Linked DNA regions of Callithrix jacchus. Each later gene encodes a partner of the first gene's protein in a complex. Links are inferred from orthologs where the notes say so. Each region holds a gene or a part of one and is shown on either strand. Other genes may lie near its edges.

Region 1 (4,515 bases):
GGATGGTTTCTTAAACAGAAAAGAGCCAAATTACCAATGTAACTTTATGTTTAAGGGCTAAAACAGCTGTTTGTTTTATTACCAATAAATAGAAAATGGACTCAGACTGAAATAAGGATTATTTTCCCAAGTCTGGATATCAACACGTGGCTTTGGGTGTCAGCATGGTATTCCAAAATAATGAACTTTCTAATAGTGCTGGAAGTACTAAATTAGCTTACTTACCCTTATAACTTTATAAGAGCCAGAAGGTATTGTTTCAAAATGACTTTTTAAAAATGGAAGTGAATATGCAAAGATAAGTTAGGCAATTTGCCTAAAGCTTCATCAGGAGACTCGGGAGGAGACAGTGAATTAGATCCTTTAGAGTGCAGTGTTCTTTCTGTCTACTTGCCAAAGACGAAGGCATCTGGGAGTCTATGACAGCTTCAATAAAATACATAAAATGACTAATGATGCTGCTGATTAGGTGGAAAGTGAGAGAACAAGTGTTTAGGGATGCTAGAATTGCCAGTGGGAAATTAAAAACAAAACAAAACAAAAACACATCTCCTAAAGGCTTACCTCTGGTGGTTTCGCAAGTATAACATCCATTACAGCATCAAAGATTTATAGTTTTTTTTTTCTTTGAGACAGGGTCTCACTATGTTGCCTAGGCTGAAGTGCGGTAGCACGATCATGGCTCACTGCAGCCTGGAAAATTTTTAAAAATTTTTGTAGAGACAGGTTCCCACGGTGTTGCCAAGGCTGGTCTTGAACTCCTGGCCTCAAGTGATCTTTCTGCCTTGGCCTCCCAGAGTGCTGGGATTATAGGTGTGAGCCTATAATTTGGGAATTAAATCCCCAAAGCTGAAGTCTGGGAAGAAGTCACTTATCAGTGAGTGAATCTAGCCAGCTACTGAGCATTTTGTTATTTATTTATTTTTTGAAGACAGAGTCTTGTTTTTGTCGCCCAGGCTGGAGTGCAATGGCACAATTTCAGCTCACTGCAACTTCCACCTCCTGGGTTTCAGCGATTCTCCTGCCGCAGCCTCCTGAGTAGCTGGGATTGTAGGTGCCCGCTACCATGCCTAGCTAATTTTTGTATTTTTAGTAGAGATGGGGTTTCACCATGTTGGCCAGGCTGGTCTCAAACTCCTGACCTCAGGTGATCCACCTGCCTCGGCTGCTGTTCCCCTAACAGCAGCAAACTCATCTTTCAACTTACTTTTCCTCACATTACATATATAATTTGGAAGAAGGAACAAAAAAGCGAGGGAAATTGCAATCTCCTAATTGAGGTATAAAACATAACTTTCCACATTGAATAGTTACAAACACTTAGGAACAGTGTGACAGGAGGCAGAGATACCAACAGCACTGGAAATGATGATGGAGATCAAATCTCAAAAAGCAGTTTTCTATAGCTTAGTCACACTTGGCTCAATTTTTCACTTTTTGTACTTAAAAGGTATGGCAATTTTTTGGTGCTTTATTTAGTAATTATGTCATTTTGCCTGATAATACAATTTCAGTACATTACTTTCCTTAAATCATTTCCCTTTGGTGAAACAGAAAAAGCAGAATTGGTCTTTAGGCATGTGTGCTCAAATCAAATGATCTTTCCCCATTATGGCTATGTTCTTCCAGTGGTCACCTTCCCTTCAATATTCTTTCATGCAGCAAAGTGAGTCTTTACTTTGTACTAGGAACTGTTCTGACACTGGGGAAACCATGTCAACAGGACCCACATGATCCCTGTCCCTGCCCTCAAGGAGACAGAAAACAAATGAACAAATACAATAATTACACAGGGATCGGGAGCTGTAAAGGGTACTCTATTAAAGTTAGTGGCTGTGGAACTAATTTGAAGAGGGTAGTCAAGGAGGGCTACTCTGGGACAGATTTAGACAGAGGCCCGAGGAAAGATGGATTTGGATAAACAGTATGTTTATGGAGAGTTCAAGGAAGAGGTACCAATTACACTCATGCTGTGTGTGTAAAGGAGGCAGGATAAAAACTTTCGTTCCAGGCATAGAGACCATAAAGTGTATCTTGGAGAGGAAAAGTGTGTTGTAGAGGGTTAGGTGGCCAGTGTAGCTGAAACTTCAGGAGCCAGACAAGAAACGGGATTGTAAACGTGGGTTAAGGACCACATCAGGGCCTTGTAGGCCATGGCAAGGAGTCTAGCTTTTATCTCAATGCCAAGAGAAGCTGTAGGATTACTTCAGACAGCTGAATTACACGATCTGTCTTTCTTGTTAAAAGATCACGCGGGTAAAACGAGACGTGTCGAGGAAAGTTTTAAACCCAGAGAACTTAAGTCAGATGCAAAAATTATGCACTTCTTCGGGCCTCAGGTTTTCCATAAGTAAAGCCTTGAACTAGAAGCCATTTCCTTCCCACTGCGATGTGGTGAGTTCTGAGCATGGGCCGCGTCAGACTGACCATGGAATTCCCCTCATCGATGCCGGCGCCCATCTACGCCGGCGCCCAGAACACAACTGGCGCCCTGAAACTGTTGGTCACCGCAATGAATCAATGAATGCTCTGCTATGGACGCGGGACCAGGCCCCGGCGCCAGAAAAGAACGCGATGGGTCGCGCGGGAGGCCGCGAGAGGCTTCCGACGAGGACGTAGGGGCCGGCTCCAACACAACCAAGGCGCGCCGAGCAGGGGAACCCGGGCCTCGCAGGTTGAGGGAAGAAAAAAATCGGACTAGGGCCCGACACCGGGAACTAGGAGAGAAGGCCGAAAAGTGGGGCGGAGGAAGGGTTCTGGTTCCAGGCCTGGGGGCCCAGCCACTCACCGCAGCCGTCGCCAGGCTGTGCATGTTGGGAGCGGCCGCCGCTCTCCTTTCGCAGCCGGACGCGCCCGACCCGCGTCCCAGCTTCAGCACCCCTGCCGCCGAAAATAATGAGCCGCTGTAGCAGCCATCCGCCTCTAGCTCGCTCCGCCCCCTTCGCAGCCCTCTGACCTATCACCTCTGACCCCACCCACACATCCTCTTCCCGCCCCCTGGCCCTCGGCCTAGTTAACAGTCCCGGAGTCTGTCCTTTGCCTCTTAAGATTTAGGACCCGAAAAACGTCCGCGACCAACTAGTTCCCGCAACTCCTAGCTTTAAGCAGATATTTCCAGAGAGCGGCGTGAACTCTGACCCTTCTCCAGAGGCCAGTGAACGGCGGGAAAAAATGGACCGTCCCGTGAGGAAAACAATTGCGCATGCCCAACTGGGCAGAGTAAGAGGGAAACGATGGGAGGGTCGAAATCGGGTGAAGCAGGAAGTGCGCCTGCGTACTACAGTCAGGGCTGGGGCGGGGCTGACCGGGTTAGGCCGCACTAGGTGCTGTTGGGGGCGGGGCGAGGGCGTATGAGGGGCGGAGTTTTCGCTGGCGCGCACGCGCCTGTGTGGTCGCGTCAAGTCTGCGTGCGTGCGTGCGTGTTTGCGTGTGGTCGCAGTTCCCGCCATCAGCCGCTCGCTCTGACTAGGGGTAGGTAGCGGCCTCCCTCCTTTGGGTTTGTTATCCCTACTTTCATTACCCCTGGCTCCTCTCGCTCTGCGCCGCTGCGTGCTTTCCGCAGGTCTGTCCGGGGGCTCTGGACCCTCAGCGCAGGTAAGGAGGGTCGGGGTAGCTTCTCAATTGAGCCGTTTTCCCTAGCGCCCAGTCCCTCTGTGCGATCCGCCCACTCGGTGTTCACTCTTTTGGAGTTCGCCCAGCTGCTACTCAGGCCGCCCACAACCCCTGGACGCACCCTCAGCCTCACAGGTACTCCCTTTGGGTTCACTGCCCCGGCTTTCCCCTCTCTGACTTGGTCTCCACTGCCAGTCGCTCCTTCCGAAACTCGAACCTGGCCCCTTTCCTCTGGGGCTGTTGTCGTCAGCCACTTTGCCTCTTAACAAGGCCTGTCTCTTCTGGTGACTGTGACTTTGGTTGCCGCACATCCACCAGGCCTTGGACATGATACTCATTTACCCTCTTGACCATGTTCACCTTCCTCTTGACCAGTCCTCACTGCAAAACATGAGTTGTATTTTTCTTGTGCATTTCCTTGCGCCCATTTCTAGCTATCACATCAGGTTGTTTGATTTCGTTCTTCTAAGTCATGATCTGTAAAAGAAATGATTGATGACAAAGTCCTGTGTCCAGGAGAATTGTCCTGAATTGGTTTTGGGGTAGTCCTCTCAAAATTTCAGCTCTGTGTAAATTCCTTTGTTGAGGTGGCAATTCCCGACAAGTCTCTGACTGGAAGAGACATCTGAGAGGGAATGTCAAGTAGGCAGTTGGATATAGTGGGTGAGCTCTTAGGAGAGTTCTGAGCTGGATACGTAAATGTGTGTGTGGGTGTATATGTCATCTGCCATGTTAATGTTAATTGAAGCCACGGATGTGGATGAAATAGCCTAAAAAGAGTATAGTGATGTAAAATAAAGGCAACTGGGATGGAGCATTGAGGGATTCCTGAGGTTTAATCACTGATAGAGGAGGATGCGTCTTGTAAGAGATGAAAGAAGTCATCAGTAGTGTTGCATTCTG
Region 2 (4,487 bases), on another chromosome or scaffold:
GGTAGACTATGTGGTATCCAAAAACAGTGGAAACTTCTTAAAGCCAGAATACATTTCTTCTCTTGTTTTTGTTCTATTAAAGGCTTCCAAAAGAACAACAAAGATCAGGAAAACAGAGAAGTTCAGAATGAATGTGCTGTAAATTCCACTATCTGACCATAACTCAGAAAATGCTGGGACTCCGAATTTTAGATTCCTAATCTTAAGATTTCTCCCCTGCAAAAGGCTGTAAAACCATTTCCTATACCCATATAATGTTAACTCGGTGACACTTCCTTATTTCCCTAACTGAAATAATATCCTTCCTTTTTGGTGTTATTTCAAACACAACCATGAACTACTTTGGAGGAAGTGGGTGTATCACTCCTGGGGTTTTGAGAGATGTTTCCATAAAAGCAAAAGCAACAACAAAAAAAAACCCACACAACCAAAATGATTCTATTTTATTCTCTCATAAATAGAATTGGATTTTAAAAAGCTAACCACTGTTATACATATGTGGCATATATATGGGGACTGCAAAAGCCAGACGACTAGCAAAAATACGTAACCCATTTTTGCTCCAAAGTTAGCTAGGATCTGTGGGGAAGTAAACAATAGCTTTCGAGCCCCTGAATGTGGTGTCACTCAAAAATTAAAGAGGAATCGCACTATGTACATTTAATTTAACAAGTCAAATTACTGTATATGGTGGCCAAAGGAAAAGAAAAAAAAGAGGCCAGCATGGTGGCTCACACCTGTAATACCAGCACTTTGGGAGGCCAACGTGGGTGAATTACAAGGTCAGGAGTTCAAGACCAGCCTAGCCAACATGGTGAAGCCCAGTCTCTACTAAAAATACAAAAAATTACCTGGGCGTAGTGGCGGGCACCTGTAATCCCAGTTACTCAGGAGGCTGAGGCCGGAGAATCCCTTGAACCTGGGAGGCAGAGGCTGCAGTGAGCTTAGATGGCGCCACTGCACTCCAGCCGGGGCAACAGAGTGAGACTCTGTCTCAAAAACAAAAAAAGATAAAATAGCAACTTAAATAATACCAACGGGATGAGGGCAATGTCTCATGCCTGTAATCCCAGCACTTTGAGAGGCTGAGGCTAGGGGATCACTTGAGCCCAGGAGTTCGGGACAAGCCTGGGCAACAAAGTGAGACCCCATCTCTACAGAAAGTACAAAAGCTTAGCCAGGCATGGTGGTGTGTGCCCGTAGTCCCAGCTACTCAGGAGACTGAGCTGGGAGGATCACTTGAGCCCCAGGAAGTCGAGGCTGCAGCAGTGAGCTGTTATTAGGCCACTGCATTCCAGCAGCAGCAACTGAACACCACCATGTCTCAAAAAAAACCATCATAACAGCAATTCTGTCTGCCACTCTCCACTTTGTAAGCACATGCTCCAAAAGGAGCCTAAGATAAGAAATCACAAACACACCGTTCCCTTGGTTTGTCTTCCACCTTTTAAGCCTCCTCAGTGCAAGTATCTCACAGAGCATCACAACTGTATGCCTTTCAAATATGCTTATTTGCACAACACAGCTCCTAAAGATAACCTAACTACTTTATCTGGGGTACAACCAAAGCAACAGTATTAAGTTTCAAACTGAAGGAAAAACCGTCCAAGATGTAGTCAGAAACACGATGCTAATCTCAAATTTGCACCTTCCTAAGGAATGTTTAAGGATTTTTATCACATACAATGTTTGCCTCACAGGCTGACTTAAAAAGTCGATTCCCACATGAGCCACACAGGAAACTGTGCAAGAGGGAAAGGTTTTCACAAATACACACACACCCCTATGAATTACTGAAATCCGTGCCCTGTGCTGACCTGCAGTGCAATATGTTCAGATCGCTCCCGTTGACCTACAGTGTAAACTTTCTCCAAAACATATAGCTCCTTATTTACACACGAAAGCTTTGAAGGGCAACTAATGATAACGCCACCGGAAAGTTTTCTCTGCAAGTAATCAAGGTCTTGCTCGGGAAAAGAAATGTTGAGTCTGATTTTGTTTGTTTAAGCCCAAGTGTACAAGGAAACAGTAAACATCACTTCCCTATTCTAGAGGACTGAACAAAGATTTTGCCGTCTGTAGATGAGACAGAAAAGTAAGTGGCACGTTTGAAGAAATTACAGCGCTTAAGAGGGTCCTCTCCAAACTAGGCTGCCACCATCCTCCGACTCTCCCCTACCCCAAACACTGTCTCAAGGCACTGCCCTGAACTGAACCGCAGTTCAAACTTCTTAAAAGTACCCTAATGGTACTTTTAAGTTGGCTCCTCCACTCATAAAGCAATAGAACGGCAAGAAAAAGTTGCGGGACCGCAAGAACTAAGGAGGAGGCGGCGAGTTAGAAGGGGGAGGCCAGCAGGGTTCCAAATTCAGGTCCTCTCCGCGACTCAGTCTCCCATCATCATTCTCTTCCCGTTTATCACCACCTTTCTACTTCAAACCACACTCAGTCCTCCTCCTTCTGACACTCCATTTTTCTTTGTTTTGCTTGGTAAAGCAATGTTAAAATTATGGGCCTTAGGACTAAAAGAACTAAGTTCGAAGCCAGGCCAGGCAAGGCCACGTAGTAGTTGTATGTTCTTGCATAAGCCACTTAACCTATTTCGTGCCTCAGTTTTCCTATCTCGTAAAGTGGGTTTGATAATAGTATGCACCGCGGAGAACTGGAATACAAGTTAAAATGAAGCATATGAGGTGCTTTGTAAAGTCCGCGAACATATCACTCGAATATTATCGTGAGGCGGTAGCCATTATTATTACTACTCTTTGCTGGACTTCCTCTCCTCCTCACACACCCTGTCCCTTACACATGCCCCCCACTCCCCGTCCCCCTACAGACCCCCGATGGTCTCTCACTCTTTCATCTCACGCTCCACTTTCCAGTAAGCGTAGGCCCGCTTACCGTGACTGGCAGGGCACGCGAAGCGCTGGCTGGCTGGCGAACTGGCGGGCCGAATCCCCGACGGCGGCGGCGGCGGTCCCTGACCCAAAGCTCTCCTCTCCTCTACCCCGGATCCGCTCCTAGAACCGAACGAACCAGTGAGATGGGCGCCCCCGTGCCCAGAGCGGCCTTACGTACCTTCCACCAAACAACGGGACGTCACCACTCTACCCAGTCGATCCGCCCGACTCGCCTGCTCTCTAGAGTCACTGCAAACGCGCGCGCGCCTAGTCATGCCCGCTCCTCCCCCTTTGCGCGCCCCTGAGACTCCGTGCGTGTTCGCTCTGCCAGTGAGCTCGCGGGAAGCAGCGCGCAGCCGCAGAACCAACAGGACACCGAATAGGTGGGGCGCGGCGGCCTCGAAGCACGCTTGCGGAAGACCGCCCTCCCGCGGCTCTCTTCGCGAGATTCGTTGCGCCCGCTCAATTTAACCAAGATCCCTACTCCTCCATTTTGGTCCTCTTTCCGCGGGAACAAGGAAGGGGCGTGGTCTAGAACTAGGCCCCCACCGTGGGCGCGGCCTGGAAAAATCCAAAGGCTGAGGAAATGGCAATGCCCTTCCGAACAAACCCCCCGAATTGCGACGCCCCCCTCCTCCTGGCTTTGAAGGACCGCTAAAATCGTTGGCAGGAAGGGATTTGTGGCGAGGCTGACCGGGAAAGAGGCTGTCCTGGCTTTCGGTTCGAATGGGGCCCCCTAGATTCCTCACTTACAAAGCATCTATATATCTTACGATTCCTTTCTGGCAGTTAGGGGTGGGGCGGCTCCCCAAAGCCGAGTTTGGGTGACGTCCGCCAAGGCCCGCCTCCCTCCCGGCCTTACCGAGCCGGCGAGGAGCGTTGCCATAACAACCGGCCCGCCAGGGCCTGCTGAAGTTACAAAGAGGATGGCGCCTCCCGTGGACACAGCGCCTAGCCAGCGAAGGCGTAACCCGGCTCCAAAACCTTTGCGGACGCGCCAGGGGTTTGCCGGATTTTAGTGTGGAGACCCACGGGCTCAGGCCTCGCCCAGGAGCTACTGAGGCCCCTCTGCCAGCCACTTGGTTCCCCTTTAATCCTGCTTGAAGAGAGGGCTCTTGGCTGGCGCCCGGCCTGTGCAACCTGTGACCAGATGGGACGCGCCGCTGCCTCGTGTTCTCTGCGGTGGGACGGAAGACAAAGCGCCGGCTTCCTGTACACAGCGTCCGCGGCGGGCCGCCCTCAGCCACTCTAGCCAGCGCTCCGCCCTTGTTCCCGAGAGGACGTGGGGGCGGCCCTAATCAGAGTTCTAGTCCTTTTCCCAGATGCTTGTATTTGAGGGGCTGTTTGAAAGCGAACAGCAAATGTACCCCTAGTGAACGAGAGAGAGGTTCCTACTATTATTCACTTTGCACTTTTAAACATTTCCCCCTCAGGGGATTCTCCAAAATCCTCCTTCCTGTTCCTAGGCTGAAAGCCAACTGGCCGTGAGCGGCAATTTCAAACAGGATTCCGAAAAGCTATTCTCCAGGGAGGTGAACTCCTAGCTACAGCCTCCAGGGTTAAGAGCATCAAATGAGCTTTCTGAAC
Region 3 (3,800 bases), on another chromosome or scaffold:
TTGTTTTCCCTGGGCCACATTCGAGGAAGAATTGTCTTAGGCTACACATAAAATACACTAATGCTAATGACAGCTGATGAGCTCAAGAAAAGAAAAACAAATTGCAAAAAAGAAAAAAACTCGAAATGTTTTAAGAAAGTCCACTAATTCGTATTCGGCTATATTCAAAGCCATGCTGGGCCACATGTGGCCCACGGGTTGCAGGTTGGACAAGCTTGATTTACACCGATGTTAGGAGATGTTTAAGGAGAAGGAAACAGTGAAAAACATTAGGTGGAAAGGTCATTTAGCAGATAAACCAGTAGTGCTTAATACAGAGAGAACGCCATGAACAGAATCTTGGAAATTTTGAAGAAAGTTAAGATTGACTTCCTAATGGAGTGGGTAGAATGAGTGTCAGATACAGTGCTAGACACTAGAGATACAGTATTGAGGAAAGTTGGTCATGGTCTTTATAACTCACTATTTTGTAACTCTTCTGTTTCCTCTGTTGCCAGAGTCTAAGAATTACAGTTGTTAATACCAATCAATGTATGAGAATTCTCTCCAAACTGAATTTGGAGTTGATATACCCATGAAAATTGAAGTGGAGTATTGAGCTGTGAAGAGGAAAAGCAGTCTGTGGAAATATTGTCACTGATAAGTCAGAGAGGATTAGAACACATTTGTAAAAAATCATCTCTTTTGGTGATTGCAGTGATTCTTGATATTTGAATCATTTTAATAGGGCAGTAGTAATGACAGGGCATCTTCAGTTCACTGGTAACAGAAAGGAAGCTGATGCTTCAGTTAAGGAAAGTGGTAGTGAAAAGGAGATAGTTCCATAAGAAGGGAGGCTGGGTGCAGTAGTTCACGCCTGTAATCCCAGCACTTTGCAAGGCCAATTGGCAGCCAAGGCAGGCAGGTCGCTTGAGCTCAGTAGTTCAGGACCAGCCTGGACAACATGGCAAAGCCTCATCTCTACAAAAATACAAAAATTAGCCAGGTATGGTGGTGCATATCTGTAGTCACAGCTACTTGACAGGCTGCAACAGGAGGATTGCTTAAGCCCAGGTGGTCAAGGCTGTAGTGAGTGGTGTTCAAGCCAGTGCTTCCTGGATGACAGCCACACCCTGTCTCAAGAAGGGAAAGTGAATTCAACAGAAGGGTGGTTTTTATTTTGTTTTATAGATAATACACAGACATACTTGAGTGTTCAAGAGTTGAGTTGCCGGGTGTTAGGATAAAGATAGGCACTTGACAAATACTTTGAGGAATGGCATGGAAAAGCATCTAAGGCATTGGCAGCAATTAGCTTTGGCGATGAGGCAGGCTGTCTTCGGAGTCTAAAGGAAAAAGATCTTCAGATAGATGGGTTGATATAAAAAAACAGGAATGTTGATGATCTGATATTTCTTTGTAAAGCAAGTATAGGGTGAAGCCATGTGCTACAAGTAAACAGGTGAAAAGTGTTATTGGAAATTTAAAAGATCTGAAACTACTTGTTCACCTATACCTTCGCAAATGGCCAAAAGCGATGTAAGCCTGGGGAAGAATCTGTTTTTTGTGCCTTTGGTTGCTTATAGTTGCTAAAGCATACCTCATTGTGAGCATTGGGACCTGATGACTGAGATACTAATTTTTTGAGTACGTATTTTTAGCCTAGGAAAGCTGTGGTTTAACTGGGGAAAAAACAAAAAATACTAAACAACTTCATTGGGTTTATTCTGTTACCTTTCCTAAAGGATTTTCCAGGGGAGACTTAACTTTTAAGTGATTATTGTAGTTTGCCTCTATTTTAAAATAATTCCATTATTAGCTTTGTAATTTTTCAGACATTTAAAAATGATTTCCAGAGGACAAACCATAAGAATGCTTTTTGGCCCAAGTGAAATATACCCTTGGTTTAGTTTTGTTTAAAGTGTTTAATAGCAATTCCTTTTGCCAAAAGGTAGAAACCATTATTCTTACAATTTAAAAAGTAAATAAAAAGTTCAATGGCAGATTCACAAAATACTTTTTCATTTATTCTCAAAAATACATGTGTATTTTAATAACTTTTTAAATATTTCAGATACACATAAATTTGTGGTTGGAAATTAGAGATGGCTTTCTTTTTGGCTTAAGTGAAATCTTGAAGAATTGGTTTATATTTAGATTTCCTGGCTTGATTTTATAAGGCAGTCTTTTAGGAATATGATTGTTGACAGAAGAAATTATTGCTATTACAGCATAGTCCTTAACTTTAAGCAGTGTTGCTTATTGGAGCCATTTGCAAGGCTTATCATTTATGAAAGGCATCTCCTTCTTCTTAAGGATGAAGTGTAGTTTTACCTCAACCACATGAGATGTTTTCCACTGGGTCTCCTTCCTTATGCTGCCAAGACCATAGGAGGTGGGCATATCCCCCACAGCTATGGCTGCAGCTCCACCTAGCAGCATTACAATGACTGCTGAGACAGAGAGTCTGAAAAAAGTTGTCTGTCACTCTGTGGTGGTAGCCCCTGGTGAGTAGAAGACCCTTTTTCCAAACCCAGTTAAATGTATTTAAGTATGAAAGGCTAATGAAATTGAGTTAATAGTAAGGATTAAAATTGCACCATTGAACTCTTTGAATGATTTTTTACTGTTTGAAACACTTTTCAGAAACAATGACTCTTGCATTTAAATTGCATTTTTCTTGCACAAAGGTTAAAGCCTTCAAACAGTTGGAATCAAGCCAATCCTCTCTCTCCTTATTGGCACTGTAGTTACAGGTGTAAGCAGAAGAACAGCTTGTTTGAAGTAATGGCATATTTGAATCTTTCTCTTTCTTCTGCCAGGGAGGACATGTATGCCCAGGACTCTATAGAGCTGCTAACAACATCTGGTATCCAGTTTAAAAAACATGAGGAAGAAGGAATTGAGACCCAGTACTTCGCAGAACTTCTCATGACTTCAGGAGTGGTCCTCTGTGAAGGGGTCAAATGGTTGTCATTTCATAGGTAAAACGACTGCATTGAAAATGCCATTTGTGTTTCCATCTCATACTTGCATCACACTTACTTCGGTCACTATGTTAGCAATTTCAGGCTTAATTCTAGAAAGAGTTGACTGCCATATAGAGTTGTCACCTAATTCTTAGGAGGCTAATGTTAGTCTGCTTAAAGGTTAATTTAAAATATGGGATCCATTTTTGCCTGTGAGAAGCATGTTGCGTAGTAGAAAGAGTACACGTTCCCTAGAAAGTGAAAGGCCTAGTTTAAAGCCAGCAATGCCGTTTGGAATTGATGTTGCCCAGGGTTTTCTTTTACTATTTCTGCACCTTAGTTTTTAATGTTCTACAAGGGAAACCATTAATTTACATTTACAAAAATCTATTGAGTATTTACAATATGGCAGGCACTGTGATGAAATGCTAGGAATTAAGCTGTGACTAAAACAGATGAAAATTCTTGTCCACATGGAGTTTATATCCTGATGGGGGTGGACAGTTTTTTAAAAATGGAGTTCATATTGTGGTTTGTTAGATAGTGCTAAGTACTATCTAAAATGAAACAGCAAGAAAATGCTAGGGGTGTGTGTGTAGATGGAATTTAATTTTTTAAAAATAATGTGATAAGGTATCCCTTAGAAGAAATATCTCGAAGACTTGCTTTAATAGTCAGTAAATTACTTTATAAACAGTCAATTATCAATAAGTGGTAGATTTTAATTCTTTATTATTGTAAAACTAGATTATTTAAGAGTGTTTCTGGTAAGGAAACTAGTTCCTATTTTGTGAAAATAGACTTCCATGTATGAGAGTTTACCTATCTAAGTAAACTAAACTGACGATCCAG

What was found. The genes of interacting proteins can lie anywhere in the genome.
Region 2: CNOT9 (region 1) and CNOT8 share a complex: the UniProt entries of both Homo sapiens proteins name them as parts of the CCR4-NOT complex. The link is inferred for Callithrix jacchus from reciprocal best matches to the Homo sapiens genes CNOT9 and CNOT8.
Region 3: CNOT9 (region 1) and CNOT7 share a complex: the UniProt entries of both Homo sapiens proteins name them as parts of the CCR4-NOT complex. The link is inferred for Callithrix jacchus from reciprocal best matches to the Homo sapiens genes CNOT9 and CNOT7.

What each region holds. Positions count from the first base shown.
Region 1 is NC_133507.1:140,310,407-140,314,921, reverse strand, and holds the start of CNOT9 (CCR4-NOT transcription complex subunit 9), read right to left. Parts: upstream 2,954-4,515; 5' UTR 2,813-2,953; coding exon 2,789-2,812; intron 1-2,788. UniProt on the Homo sapiens protein: Component of the CCR4-NOT complex which is one of the major cellular mRNA deadenylases and is linked to various cellular processes including bulk mRNA degradation, miRNA-mediated repression, translational repression during translational initiation and general transcription regulation.
Region 2 is NC_133503.1:54,075,923-54,080,409, reverse strand, and holds the start of CNOT8 (CCR4-NOT transcription complex subunit 8), read right to left. Parts: upstream 3,017-4,487; 5' UTR 2,902-3,016; intron 1-2,901. UniProt on the Homo sapiens protein: Has 3'-5' poly(A) exoribonuclease activity for synthetic poly(A) RNA substrate. Its function seems to be partially redundant with that of CNOT7.
Region 3 is NC_133514.1:24,436,650-24,440,449, forward strand, and holds part of CNOT7 (CCR4-NOT transcription complex subunit 7), read left to right. Parts: intron 1-2,801; coding exon 2,802-2,963; intron 2,964-3,800. UniProt on the Homo sapiens protein: Has 3'-5' poly(A) exoribonuclease activity for synthetic poly(A) RNA substrate. Its function seems to be partially redundant with that of CNOT8.